2 linked regions of the Macaca mulatta genome follow. The protein of the gene in region 2 interacts with the protein of the main gene of each other region in a biochemical or structural test. Links are inferred from orthologs where the notes say so. Each region holds a gene or a part of one and is shown on either strand. Other genes may lie near its edges.

Region 1 (5,842 bases), on a different chromosome or scaffold from region 2:
AGCATTCAACTTATATTTGTGGAATAAATGGTCATGACCCTACCACTTTCTAAATTATCTAATCTTGCAAAAGACAACCTGTTTCATCAGTGAGATTACCACTGATTCAATCTACCATCAAAGATCAGTTTGTTGAAAACATCTTTTAATAAATTAGGCTTTTAAGCTTCCAATAGACTCCCAAATTAGAGAACATACTTACATTATAAAAACAAATGATGGGCATCTCAAAAGCTTAACTAATGCTTATTGAATGAATATTTTTGAATACATTATTTGGCAGACTGAAAAGGGGGCCATTATTTTGTAGCTCCTCCCAACAAAAGCAGTCTATTTCCTCATCCTTCGAATCCAGACCGGCCGAGTGACTTGCTTGGACCAAAAGAATGTGGTGAAAGTGATGCTCTGAATTACTGAGTCCAGGTTTTGAAACCACTGCCTTTGCTTTCCTGGTACTCTTGAGACCACCATTACATAGCGCAAGATAAAAGACCACATGGAGAGGCCCAGTCATCATATTCAGTCCCCAGCCACCCTCCCAGCTGAATGCAGAGCCCAGATGAGACTAGCAGAAGAACCACTCAAGCAACCCACAGAACTGTGAGAAATGGTTAAATGTTTAAGCCACTAAATTTGGGGGTAATGTTAAGCAGCAATAGGTCACTGATGATAAATTAACCCTCATAGCACAACCTTAAGGTAGATTTTATAGTTGAGGAAACTGACGCAGGTTAAATAACCTGCCAAGGTCACACCACTCTTAAGTGCCCTAAGAACAGGATGAATATATTGAAACACCAGCTTTGTGTCTCCTTCATTGTCATCCTGCCATCATGAACTTGATCAGTTCTTTCTGACAAGGACAGAGGCATCTCTTAGAGCCCTGGCTACAAGATAAACTCTTACCTTTTTGATAAGCTGCATGCATAATGTGTCTTGATTTGACACGTCTGTGGGCTTTCCTAGGACAGAGAAATGGACTGTGAGCTATCATTCTCAGCAGTCCAGCAAATACACACCACTCTGGTTTCTGAAGCTCAAGGAACACTTACTCCCAACATAAAATAATTCATTAACACCTCTGCATTCATTTTAGCCAGCAATAATAAGACAAACTGACAATTTATATCAGGGCCCACACAGTACATCAAAAAAAAAAAAAACACCTAGTTGGGTGAACCTTACATTTAATACTTTCTTAATTGTTTTTTTCTATAACCCAATTAGTAAACCACATACAAAAGACTCATCTTGAATTGTGAAGCAGTTTATCAAAAGTTTTTTAAGAGAATTTACACAAGAATGTTTTGACCCCACCAAAAATAATATGCCTAAGCTTTAAACAAAATTCACATTTTATTTAGATTGAAATAAACTATACAAAATTGATTTTCTTCACCAAAAATAACAGCAATATTTTCCATATTTTTCTAGATAAACCACAACACTTATTTTTGTAGGTTTTCCAGGTTTTGCTTATAAATCAAGATGAGGCAGTAGATAAGAGTCATGGAAAAAGACAGAAAAAAACAGACAAATCAGTTGTCAGTATCCATGGCCTCTGATTCTGTCTCAACCATGAAACAGAAGTGTTCAACATATACCTGCTAAAAAGCTTAGGAAGATGTAGGCTCCAGAAAGGAATGTAAACAGCAACAATGAGATGTGGAACAACAGCAGGCCTTTCCATTCAAACTTTGTCATTTGTTCCTTTAAGTTCGAGAAAGACAAAATCTACACTGAAATCCTTGTTTGGCGAGCTCGCAAGCTTTTCTCCAGTAATTTCTTGTAACTGTCCAGTATAGATTTTTAGCACATTTAAAACTCCTATTAGTCAAAGATCAATTGTGGGCTTCACTATACCATTTTATAAAATGTATTCCTTCCTCCCACACCTCTTCAAAATGTATTTCTTCAAAGAATTCATAACACCCAACAAGTAGAGAGCCACAGTGATAATAAATGCTATGTCTAAAATGACTTAACTAAAACAATTCCAGAGTGCCGTCAACAGAGATCACACAGAAGGAAACATGGCACTTTCAATGTTCTCTTCTGGAAGGACAGGTAGGTCTTCAAAGCATGAGAGTTCAAAAACAGGGGCCATTTAAACAGGTAGATTACCAATGGCTAATGTATTCAATGGAGTCCTATAGGCAAAGATATTTAGTGATTAAGTGGCCTACATACACCTTACGGCTTTTCTTCCAAGTATCAAATATAAGAAAGCCTGTTTTTAAAAGTCCCTTAGGTATTTTCCACAGTTTCAGAATTATCTGTGGGAAGCTCTGACTTACTTGTATAGAGTTTAATATATGTGTCCACCATTAAATCCAGGTCGTGTTTTATATCAAAATTTATGTTAAGCAAAGCCAAGTTACTCGACCTTTGGTCTGTCAAAGTGTTCCTCAAATATGCTTTAAGACGCTTTCGTCCATTTTCATATCGCTCATTCTCAACCTTCATCACAGGAAGAATACACAGGACCTTCAGCAATGCATACACATTAGGAAAAAACTTGATGTCAGGCAGGTGGAGGGCTTCATAGATGGTGGATGGAAGCTCTATATCTTTCCCCCTGTGTTTCCATTTGATTCTCCAACAATGAAGCTCGGCTGACAGCGTGTCAGGATTGGGTAAGTCACTTCTATACATGTCAGCATGGTGTTCCTCCGACGTATTGAATTTGAGTTGTCCCATGACTGAGGGTACCAGAGACAAGCATTTAAGAGCTTTGAGGTGCTGTTCTGAGAATATATCTTTAAGTTCCTGAATAATGTGCTCCACTGTTGGGACACTTAGGGTTTCTTTATAGTAACTCTCAGAGGTTAGCTGAGATTCCAAGTTACCCTGGTGAGCTCTGCGGAATTTCCCAGGGAGTTTCATTTGAATATCAAGTTTGGTTGCCAAATTTGTGGCTTCCTCAAACCAAAATTCATGATAAACTTCAATATTTTCCATCACTTCATTGAGTGAATGCAGTACTGCAGTCAAGCTACCAGCTGCAAAGAAGACATCAGAAGTTTGCCCCTGGAGATTTTTCCCAAAGGCTCTTGTAAAAGATAGGACATTTTTAAGAACAACAATAGTAACAATGAAATCAAAATCTGTTACTGCACTGCAGAGTACAAATGCTCGGCCAGCTATACAGTTATTCCATCTAACATTTGTGTCACTATTTATACCATCTAAACATAAAACAAGTGCTTGCAGGAGTTCCACTAAAATTTCAAAAGCATCATGCCTGCCTGTCCAGTGGGAATGGCAGATTTCCTTCAGTTCTTTACCCCTTTCTTTACTGTTCTGAAAAAGAACAGAAATTACATTGTCAAGTTCTAAAAGCAGCTGTGGTGATCGATGGAAAAAAGAACAAACTTCCTCAATTGTTCCTAACGCAACAGATACTCCCATAACAGGTACTGATTTTGCCAACCACGTATTTAAGGCACAGGAAGAGCAGAGTGTGTAGATAGCCTGGGGATATTTCTCTAAAAGTCTAGAAGCAACAACTTTCATTTTGGAAGAAAATCCACTAGATACAATGTAAGCCTGGCCACGACAATACTCCATATTTAATCCCCACTTCTCAGTTATCATAGTGTGAAATTTCACAGCCAAAATTTCTGCATCAGCTTCATAAGGCAGGAAGCCTATAAATTCCTCTCTTAGGTTATGAGATTCATCAACAAACCTAACCAACACAGGTAGGTGCTCTTCCCCTGCTATGTCCACTACATCATCAGTGATAATGGAAAAGAAGTGTGAGTCTCTCACTTCCCTGAGAGTTTCTTCTCGAATACAGCTCTCACAGATCTCTAGCATCTGCCTCTGCTGTGTTTTCGAACAAAACAACGTGTTAACTGCTGTTGTCTCAAACCGCTTTCTCAGAACCTCTTCACCAGAATTTATCCTACACTCTAGCAGTGCCTGAAAGTTATCTGGAGTAAAGAGACCTTCTGGGATTTCATCAGCCTCATGTCCATCCAGAGGTATGTTTTGCTTTCCCATCAGAATCAATATTTCAAATAGAGATTTTAGGTATTCTTTGTTTTCCTTCTCTTCAAGGGTTAGAGGTAAAATGTCCTCATCTTGCCCTTCACCCTCTTCTTCACTGGGGTTCTGAGCATTGCTATTGTTGGTTTCTTTATGTTTTTGTTCCTGCTCAGAAGTTTCATCAACTGGAAAACAAAGAATTAATGTTACAAACAGGCTCAAGAAAAACCATACAAAACAAAAAATATTACACCTTTGGTTAAATATTTAAAATCCACAAACTCATTCATTCAATATTCATAGGGCATTTACTAGACTACAGACTAAGATAGAGATTAAAATAAGACACTAAGATAAGACACAATCTAGTGGGAGAGACAGTATAAACAGATATATTTTAATCCTAGATGTAAACGCTGTTATAAGATAGGAATAATTTTTTTTTTTTTTTTTAAGAAGAAGAAGCGGGTCTCAATATGTTGCCCAGGCTGGTCTTGAACTCCTGGCTTCAAGTGATCCTCCCACTTCAGCTCCAAAGTACAAGGATTAAAGGTGTGAGATACCACATCCAGCCTAATTTTTAAAACACACTTAACAAGACATTCCACATATGTAATGAATGACAGTCCATGCCCTCAGAAAAACAAAGTGGGACAGAACTAATTACTAAACTACTGTGCTTAGTATTTTATATGCATCACATTACCCTCTCTTCAGGCAGGTGGTATCAACCCCACTTGACAAATGAGGACACTAAGTAAACTTCCCCAAGATCACAAATACAGTTAGAAGAATGGAAGTAAAGTTGAAATCCAAGTGTGTCTTGCTCCAAGGTCCATGCTGATGCTGTTTTTATCAAACCATGATGCCACACATTTATATGGGAGATATGGGACAACTGTACAAACCAGTATAATATAAAGGAGATTAATGTAATTCTTAGGGCTAGTATTAGAATATCACACAGCCTAATCTCTTCATAGGGGATAGGAAAACTGAGGCCCTACAGGCTAAATGCCCTGTCCATAGTTATACAGGTCACTGGTGTCTGCAGGAAAATAATCCAAATCTGAGGAGTCACAGTTAAAACCTAGTTCTTAGAACATAAGACTATGGCCAGGTGCGGTGGCTCACGCCTGTAATCCCAGCACTTTGGGAGGTTGAGGTGGGTGGATCATGAGGTCAGGAGTTTGAGACCAGCCTGGCCAAGATGGTGAAACCCTGTCTCTACTAAAAATACAAAAATTAGCTGGGCGTGGTGGCATGTGCCTGTAGTTCCCACTACTCGGGAGGCTAAGGCAGGAGAATCGTCTGAACCCGGGAGGCAGAGGTTGTAGTGAGCCGAGATCGTGCCACTGCACTTCAGCCTGGGCAACAGAGTGAGGCTCCATCTCAAAAAGAAAAAAGACTGTGGAGGGCGGCAGGGAGAAACAAAAATTCAGAAGTTGCATTTGATGACAAGGATAAATAAGAGGGACATGAACAAGGAGGGCATTTCAGTTGGTGAGAATTATTCCAGCAAAAGCACTAAGGTAGAAGAGGGAAGCAGGCTGTCCAAGTACAAAGGGAAATCTAGTCTGACTGGAGCCTGTGTGAGCCATACTTCAGAGCTTAATAAGGGTTCAGCAAAATGCAGGGAGCATCCTTCCCTCACCCCTCCTCAAATCAGATGACACTGCTATTCATCATACGTGACACAGCAGTGGTTCTATTCTAGGGAAGCTTCCCAAGCCAGAAAGCAAGAGGTTTTCCTGGACGCCTGCCTGTCTGGCTCTCTCCCTCTCTCCTCCATTGTTTCTCTACTTCCAATTAACTAGTACTAATTCCCTTGCTTTTATTTTTTTTCAAA
Region 2 (5,842 bases):
GATACATGAGATGAAAAAAGGAACCCAGGGAACTTCTTACCATGTTTTTCCTCAGGTCCTGAGTCACTAGCTAGTCTGTCTTCTCTCCTCCTTTGAAAGTTTTCTATTTTAAAAAATATACATTTAATTTCTAGGGTTTTTAGTTGTGCTTAGCTGGAGGAATTGGGAAAAATACATCTATTCCACTTTCCCAGAAGCTGGCTTTTTTGCTTTTTTCTTTTACTTTAAGTTCCAGGATGTATGTGCAGAACGTGGAGGTTTGTTACATAGGTAAACGTGTGCCAAGGTGGTTTGCTGCACCTATCAACCCATTACCTAGGTATTAAGCCCCGCATTCATTAGCTATTTGTCCTGATGCTCTCCCTCCCCTTGCTGCCTGCCCCACACAGGCCCCCGTGTGTGATGTTCCCTTCCCTGTGTCCATGTGTTCTCATTGTTCACCTCCCACTTATGAGTGAGAATATGCAGTGTTTGGTTTTCTGTTCCTGTGTTAGTTTGCTGAGGATGATAGAGAAGCTGGCTTTTATTTTAAATGTTTTAGTTAAGCCTGTGTTTTAATACATCAGCATATTTACATATGAAGATTGTAGCACATTGGGAATAATGTGCCACCATGGCATAGAAACATATTTTTTAGTTTACTATTGTTGAGGAAAATAACTGAGTATCTATAACAGGATTAGTACTTTTTACTGGTTTGAAGAAAATGCTGAAATAGCTTTTATTCTTAGAAAGCTTATACAGTTGGGAATTTAATCAGGTACCTTCTGTATGAACTACATTGTACTTTGTTGTGAATACTGACATTAATTATATAAAATGGCACTTAATGGGTTCCGTTATTTTCATGGAAGTGTTTACTGACCAAGAAATAAAACTTGATCTCTGTATTGTTCAATGTGCTCAGTATAAGTCAGACTTCAACAGGGTATTTTACTCAGGTTCGGAATTCTGAGCTTGTTTCTGTAAGGAAATTCTTCTGGTTTGATTGGTACTTACAGGTATGCTTTGTTCTGTCCATCTGCATCTCCTATGGTCAGATGTTTTTATTTCTTAACTCTTAATTATGGAGTGTACCTTCTATGGGACTCTAGATTAATAAGGGAAAAGCCAAATCTGAAGCCGTGGCCTCATCCAGTTGGATTGATTAAGCAACACATGGTGAAGAGGGGAGGAGCCTTTCTACAGCTCTGGAAATCGAATGTCATTGTTTCTTATCATGATTTGCTCATTTCTTAGATACACAGATGCTACCAGCAAATATGAATCTGTCATGAAAACAGAGCCAAGCATTGCTGAGTATACAATTCGTTCAAAGGAGCGGATTTGCCATTGCCTTTCTAAGGTAACAGTTGACTTGTTCCCAGAAATGTGAAAACTCATCATGTGGAATACCAACCATAAATCCCTTTCTCACATTTCCTTTTAGGACGAGAAGCCTGTTGAAGCTATTAGGGTTTGTTCTGAAGTTTTACAGATGGAACCCGACAATGTGAATGCCCTGAAAGACCGAGCAGAGGCCTATTTGATAGAGGAAATGTATGATGAAGGTAAATCTTTAAGGAATTTGATTTGCAGTACCGAAGTGTTGATTAGGAAATTATCACATTTTAAGCTTCCTTTTCCTTAAAACAAGTTTACCGGAGTACCTGGAAATGGTGACGATTTAGAAAAATGGCAGAGAGCTTGAAAATTACTCTTCCATAGTGGAACCTGAAAGGTATACCATGGGAGGAAAGAGTTCTGCCATTGAAACCAGTTCAGTACAATAGAAAAATAAGTATTTTAGCTTTTTTTTGTAGAAAGTTAGGAAAAAAATAAAATAGAAAATTTAAATGTAGTTCTCATGTCATCCAGAGGTAATCACTGTTCATTTTGCATTTATCTTTTCCAGCTTATGTCTATGCACATACATTACTCTATATTTTATGCACATATACATATTCTCTCTCTCTATATATATATACACACACACACACTCGGTGTGTATGAAACATATATACAGAAAGCATACATATATGTCATATATCCCTAATATAAAATGATCCTCTGTGACCCCAAACTGTGTAGTAAAATAGGACAGTTGCTGCCCTGTTTTGTTCAAGCCGAATGAAGTAACAAGATTCCTGCTAGATGTTGTGAGGACCTTGGTTAAAAGCAGTGTCCTGTTTTTGGAAGAAAACTGTGGCGTATATAGTAATATATAGTTTTTGAAAAATAGAATCCATATATATATATGGAGATATATATATATATAGTTTTATACTTTTTTTCATGTGACACTAAGTTATGAACATTTAAATGAAACAGTTTTTAAAAAAATAGCGTTATAAGCCCTTATTGCAAATATTTTGTTTCAAATTCAGATAAAGCATTTTAAATCAAAAACTAATTTTCTCTTATAGTTAAATGAAGGGTTTGAATGGTAAAATTTGGTTTGTGATACTCTTTTTAAGGCAAAACTGGTCAATCTATTTTTCCCTGCTTTCCTCAATTAGAAAAGAATCTTGCTCCTAAGCAAGTTCCCGGTTTCCAGGGAATGATAACAACCTGGTCACTACTATTCCTGTGACATCTTGTGGGGGATTCAGACCTTGAGGTCTCTGAATGAGGCTTGAAATGAATGCAGTCAAAATGATGTTTTAATATTCATAAGCATGCTTCAATAAGGCAGGTAGTCCACATAGAAAATCCCTTTAGCACACTCGTTCTCTTTCCTTTTGAGCCACCGTGTCTACTCGCTGAGATGGTTTTACTCTAGGATTTTGCATTCCAGTTAGTTTTTGGAACTCTTTATCAAAGATACTTTTGTCATCTGTATGTAAACCCTTAGCTCTTACTGCGAAATTAGAGAAGCTACAGAAGAATATAAACAGCTTAGCTGTTAAAAAAAAAAAAAAAAAGAAGGCTAAATCTTGTAGAATGCTAAATATAATTTGAAAGATGCTTTTGAAACTTGAATGTTAAACTGACTTGCTTTTTGGGGAAACCTGATGGCTTAATTCTGGAAGAAAAAGATGCTTAGTGCTAATTTGATATAATTGATCTGGTTTCTTTTTTTTTTTTTTTGGAAATGGAGTCTTGGTCTTTTACCCAGGCTGGAGTGCAATGGTGCAATCTTGGCTCACTGCAACCTCCGCCTCCTAATTGCAACCAGTTCTTCTGCCTTAGCCTCCCGAGTAGCTGGGATTACAGGTGTGCACCACCACGCCTGGCTAATTTTTGTACTTCCAGTAGTGATGGGGTTTCACCATATTGGCCAGGCTGTTCCCGAACTCCTGACCTCAAGTGATCTGCCTGCCTTGGCCTCCCAAAGTGCTCGGATCACTTGGCCCTGCCCAGTTGATCTGTCTTTGAAGCCTGTTGTTTCCTTGAAAAAATTCTTTTGTATAGGAATTTATTAAAGAGAGAGAGAGAATGGTTGCCAGCTCTCTAAATTTGCAAAAGAAAGAAAGGAAAAGAGCCTGTATAATTGAAACTGACAAGTATTACCTGACTCGTTTGGATTGGAATCAGGGGTTTAGTAAATGATGTAAATAAATAATAATCTTACTTAACTAAGCTAAATAACAGTATGTCTTCAGTTTACTTGAGTTAGAAATATGCTTTCCATATTCTTCTTCCTGGTTTTACCTTTTTTAAATAAGCAATTAAAAATGATGGCAGGTACATAATAAAGAATGAATAGGTTTAGGTTAGTGAATAATGGAACATGGACGTTTATTAATTTGGGGCTTAGAATTATCAGGAAACATATCGGGATATCACTCAATAGAAAGGAAGTAAAGTAAGACTGTTATTTGAGGATGCCTCTGAGATCTTGAAAAATCAAGGGAAATTCTTTATCTCTGCATGTCTCCGTTTTAATAGCTTTTGAGAGGAAGAAACTGACATTGAAGCAATACGAAAATATTGACAAATTCCTTTGAATATAGGGGTAACACAGGTGTCCTTAGGAAATGATCAGTTATATTTTGCTAGAACTTTAGCTGTGTGAGGGCAGAGACCTGTGGCTGTTATATTAACTGATGCATTCCTGGTGCTTATGCTGGCACTCATGTTTGCTGAATGAATGAAGGTAATTTATTTATTATACAATGAAGTCATAGTGGAGAGTAGGGAATTTAGAATTAGTCCTGCCTTTGAGTCTGGCTTTGTGCAGTTATTCTATTTTTTTTTTTTTTTTTTTTTTTTGAGATGGAGTCTCGCTCTGTAGCCCAGGTTGGAGTGCAGTACCGTGATCTCGGCTCACTGCAACTTCCGCCTTCCGGGTCCCAGTTCAAGCAATTCTCCTGCCTCAGCCTTCCGAGTAGCTGGGATTACAGGAACTGTGCCACCATGCCCAGATAATTTTTGTATTTTTAGTAGAGACAGGGTTTCACCATGTTGGCCAGGCTGGTCTTGAACTCCTGACCTCGTGATCCACCTGCCTCGGCCTGCCAAAGTGCTGGTATTACAGGCGTGAGCCACCGTGCCTGGCCAGTTATTCTATTTTTTGTTTTTAATTCTGGTAAAAGATACAATATAAAATTTACCATCTTAACCATTTTTACATGTATAATTTAGTAGAGTTAAATATGCTCACATTGCTGTGAAAAAGATCTTCAGAACTTTTTCATCTTTCTAATCTGATCTCTGTACCCATTAAACAGCCGCTCCTTTTTACCTCTCCCTTAACCCTTGGGAACCACCGTTCTGCTTTCTGTCACTATGAATTTGACTATTCTAGATCCTCATATAATTGGAATCATATACTATTTGTCTTATTGTGCCTGGCATGTTTCACTTAGCATAGTATCCTCCAGGTTCATCCATGTTGTGGCATGTGACAGGATTTCTTTTTCTTTTAAGGCTGAATAGTATTCCATTGTATGGATATCCCACATTTTGTTTATTAATTCATCCACTGATGAACATTTGTGTTGTTTCTGCCTTCTGGCTATTGGAATGGTGTTGCTATGGATATGGGTGTGCAAATATCTCTTTGAGACCCTGGTTTCAATTATTTTGGATATCTACCTAGAAGTGGGATTGCAAAATCATATGCTAGTTCTTTTTTAATTTTTTGAGGAACCTGCATACTGGTTTCTGTCATGGTTACACCATTTTACAATTTTACTAGCAGTGTATAAAGATTCTGATTCTTTCACATCCTCATCAACACTTTTTTTTTTTTTTTTTTTTGAGACAGAGTCTTGCTCTGTCAGGCAGGCCGGAGTGCAGTAGTGCAATATGAGCTCACTGCAGTCTCCACCTTCTGGGTTCAGGTGATTCTCCTGCCTCAGCCTCCTGAGTAGCTGGGATTACATGTGTGTGCCACCACACCTGGATTTTTATTTTTATTTTTTTTAATTTTTAGTGGAGACAGAGTTTTCACCATGTTGACCAAGCTGGTCTCAAACTCCTGACCTCAAGTGATCCACCCGCCTCAGCCTCCCAAAGTGGTGGGATTATAGGTGTGAGCTACCATGCTCAGCTGGTCAACATTTTAGATTTTCTCTTTTTTTGATAGTAGCCATCTTAATGGGCTTGAAGGTGGTACCTGGTTTTGGTTTTGATTTTGATTTGTATTTCCCTAATGATTAGTGATGTTGAGCATCTTTTCATATGCTTGTTGGCCATTTATATATTTTCTTTGGAGTATGCCATTTATTTTTGCTATATGGTTTCAATCAAGCCATTTAATTTGTTACTTTTTACTCTACTTATCTGTAAAATAGGAATAAGAACAGTACTTATCTCCTAGAATTGTGGTGGCTATTAAATAAGATGATGCTCAGAAAATGTTCAGCTGCATCTAAATCATTGGTTTCCACTGTACTCATTTTCAGGTTGTTTGGAA

The links.
Region 1: the proteins of DNAJC3 (region 2) and THAP12 form a complex in vitro, tested with the Homo sapiens proteins (2 studies listed by BioGRID). The link is inferred for Macaca mulatta from reciprocal best matches to the Homo sapiens genes DNAJC3 and THAP12.

The regions. Positions count from the first base shown.
Region 1 is NC_133419.1:76,758,847-76,764,688, forward strand, and holds the end of THAP12 (52 kDa repressor of the inhibitor of the protein kinase), read right to left. Parts: intron 4,179-5,842; coding exon 2,248-4,178; 3' UTR 1,338-2,247; downstream 1-1,337. UniProt on the Homo sapiens protein: Upstream regulator of interferon-induced serine/threonine protein kinase R (PKR). May block the PKR-inhibitory function of DNAJC3, resulting in restoration of kinase activity and suppression of cell growth.
Region 2 is NC_133422.1:90,496,526-90,502,367, forward strand, and holds part of DNAJC3 (dnaJ homolog subfamily C member 3), read left to right. Parts: intron 1-1,239; coding exon 1,240-1,345; intron 1,346-1,429; coding exon 1,430-1,550; intron 1,551-5,842. UniProt on the Homo sapiens protein: Involved in the unfolded protein response (UPR) during endoplasmic reticulum (ER) stress.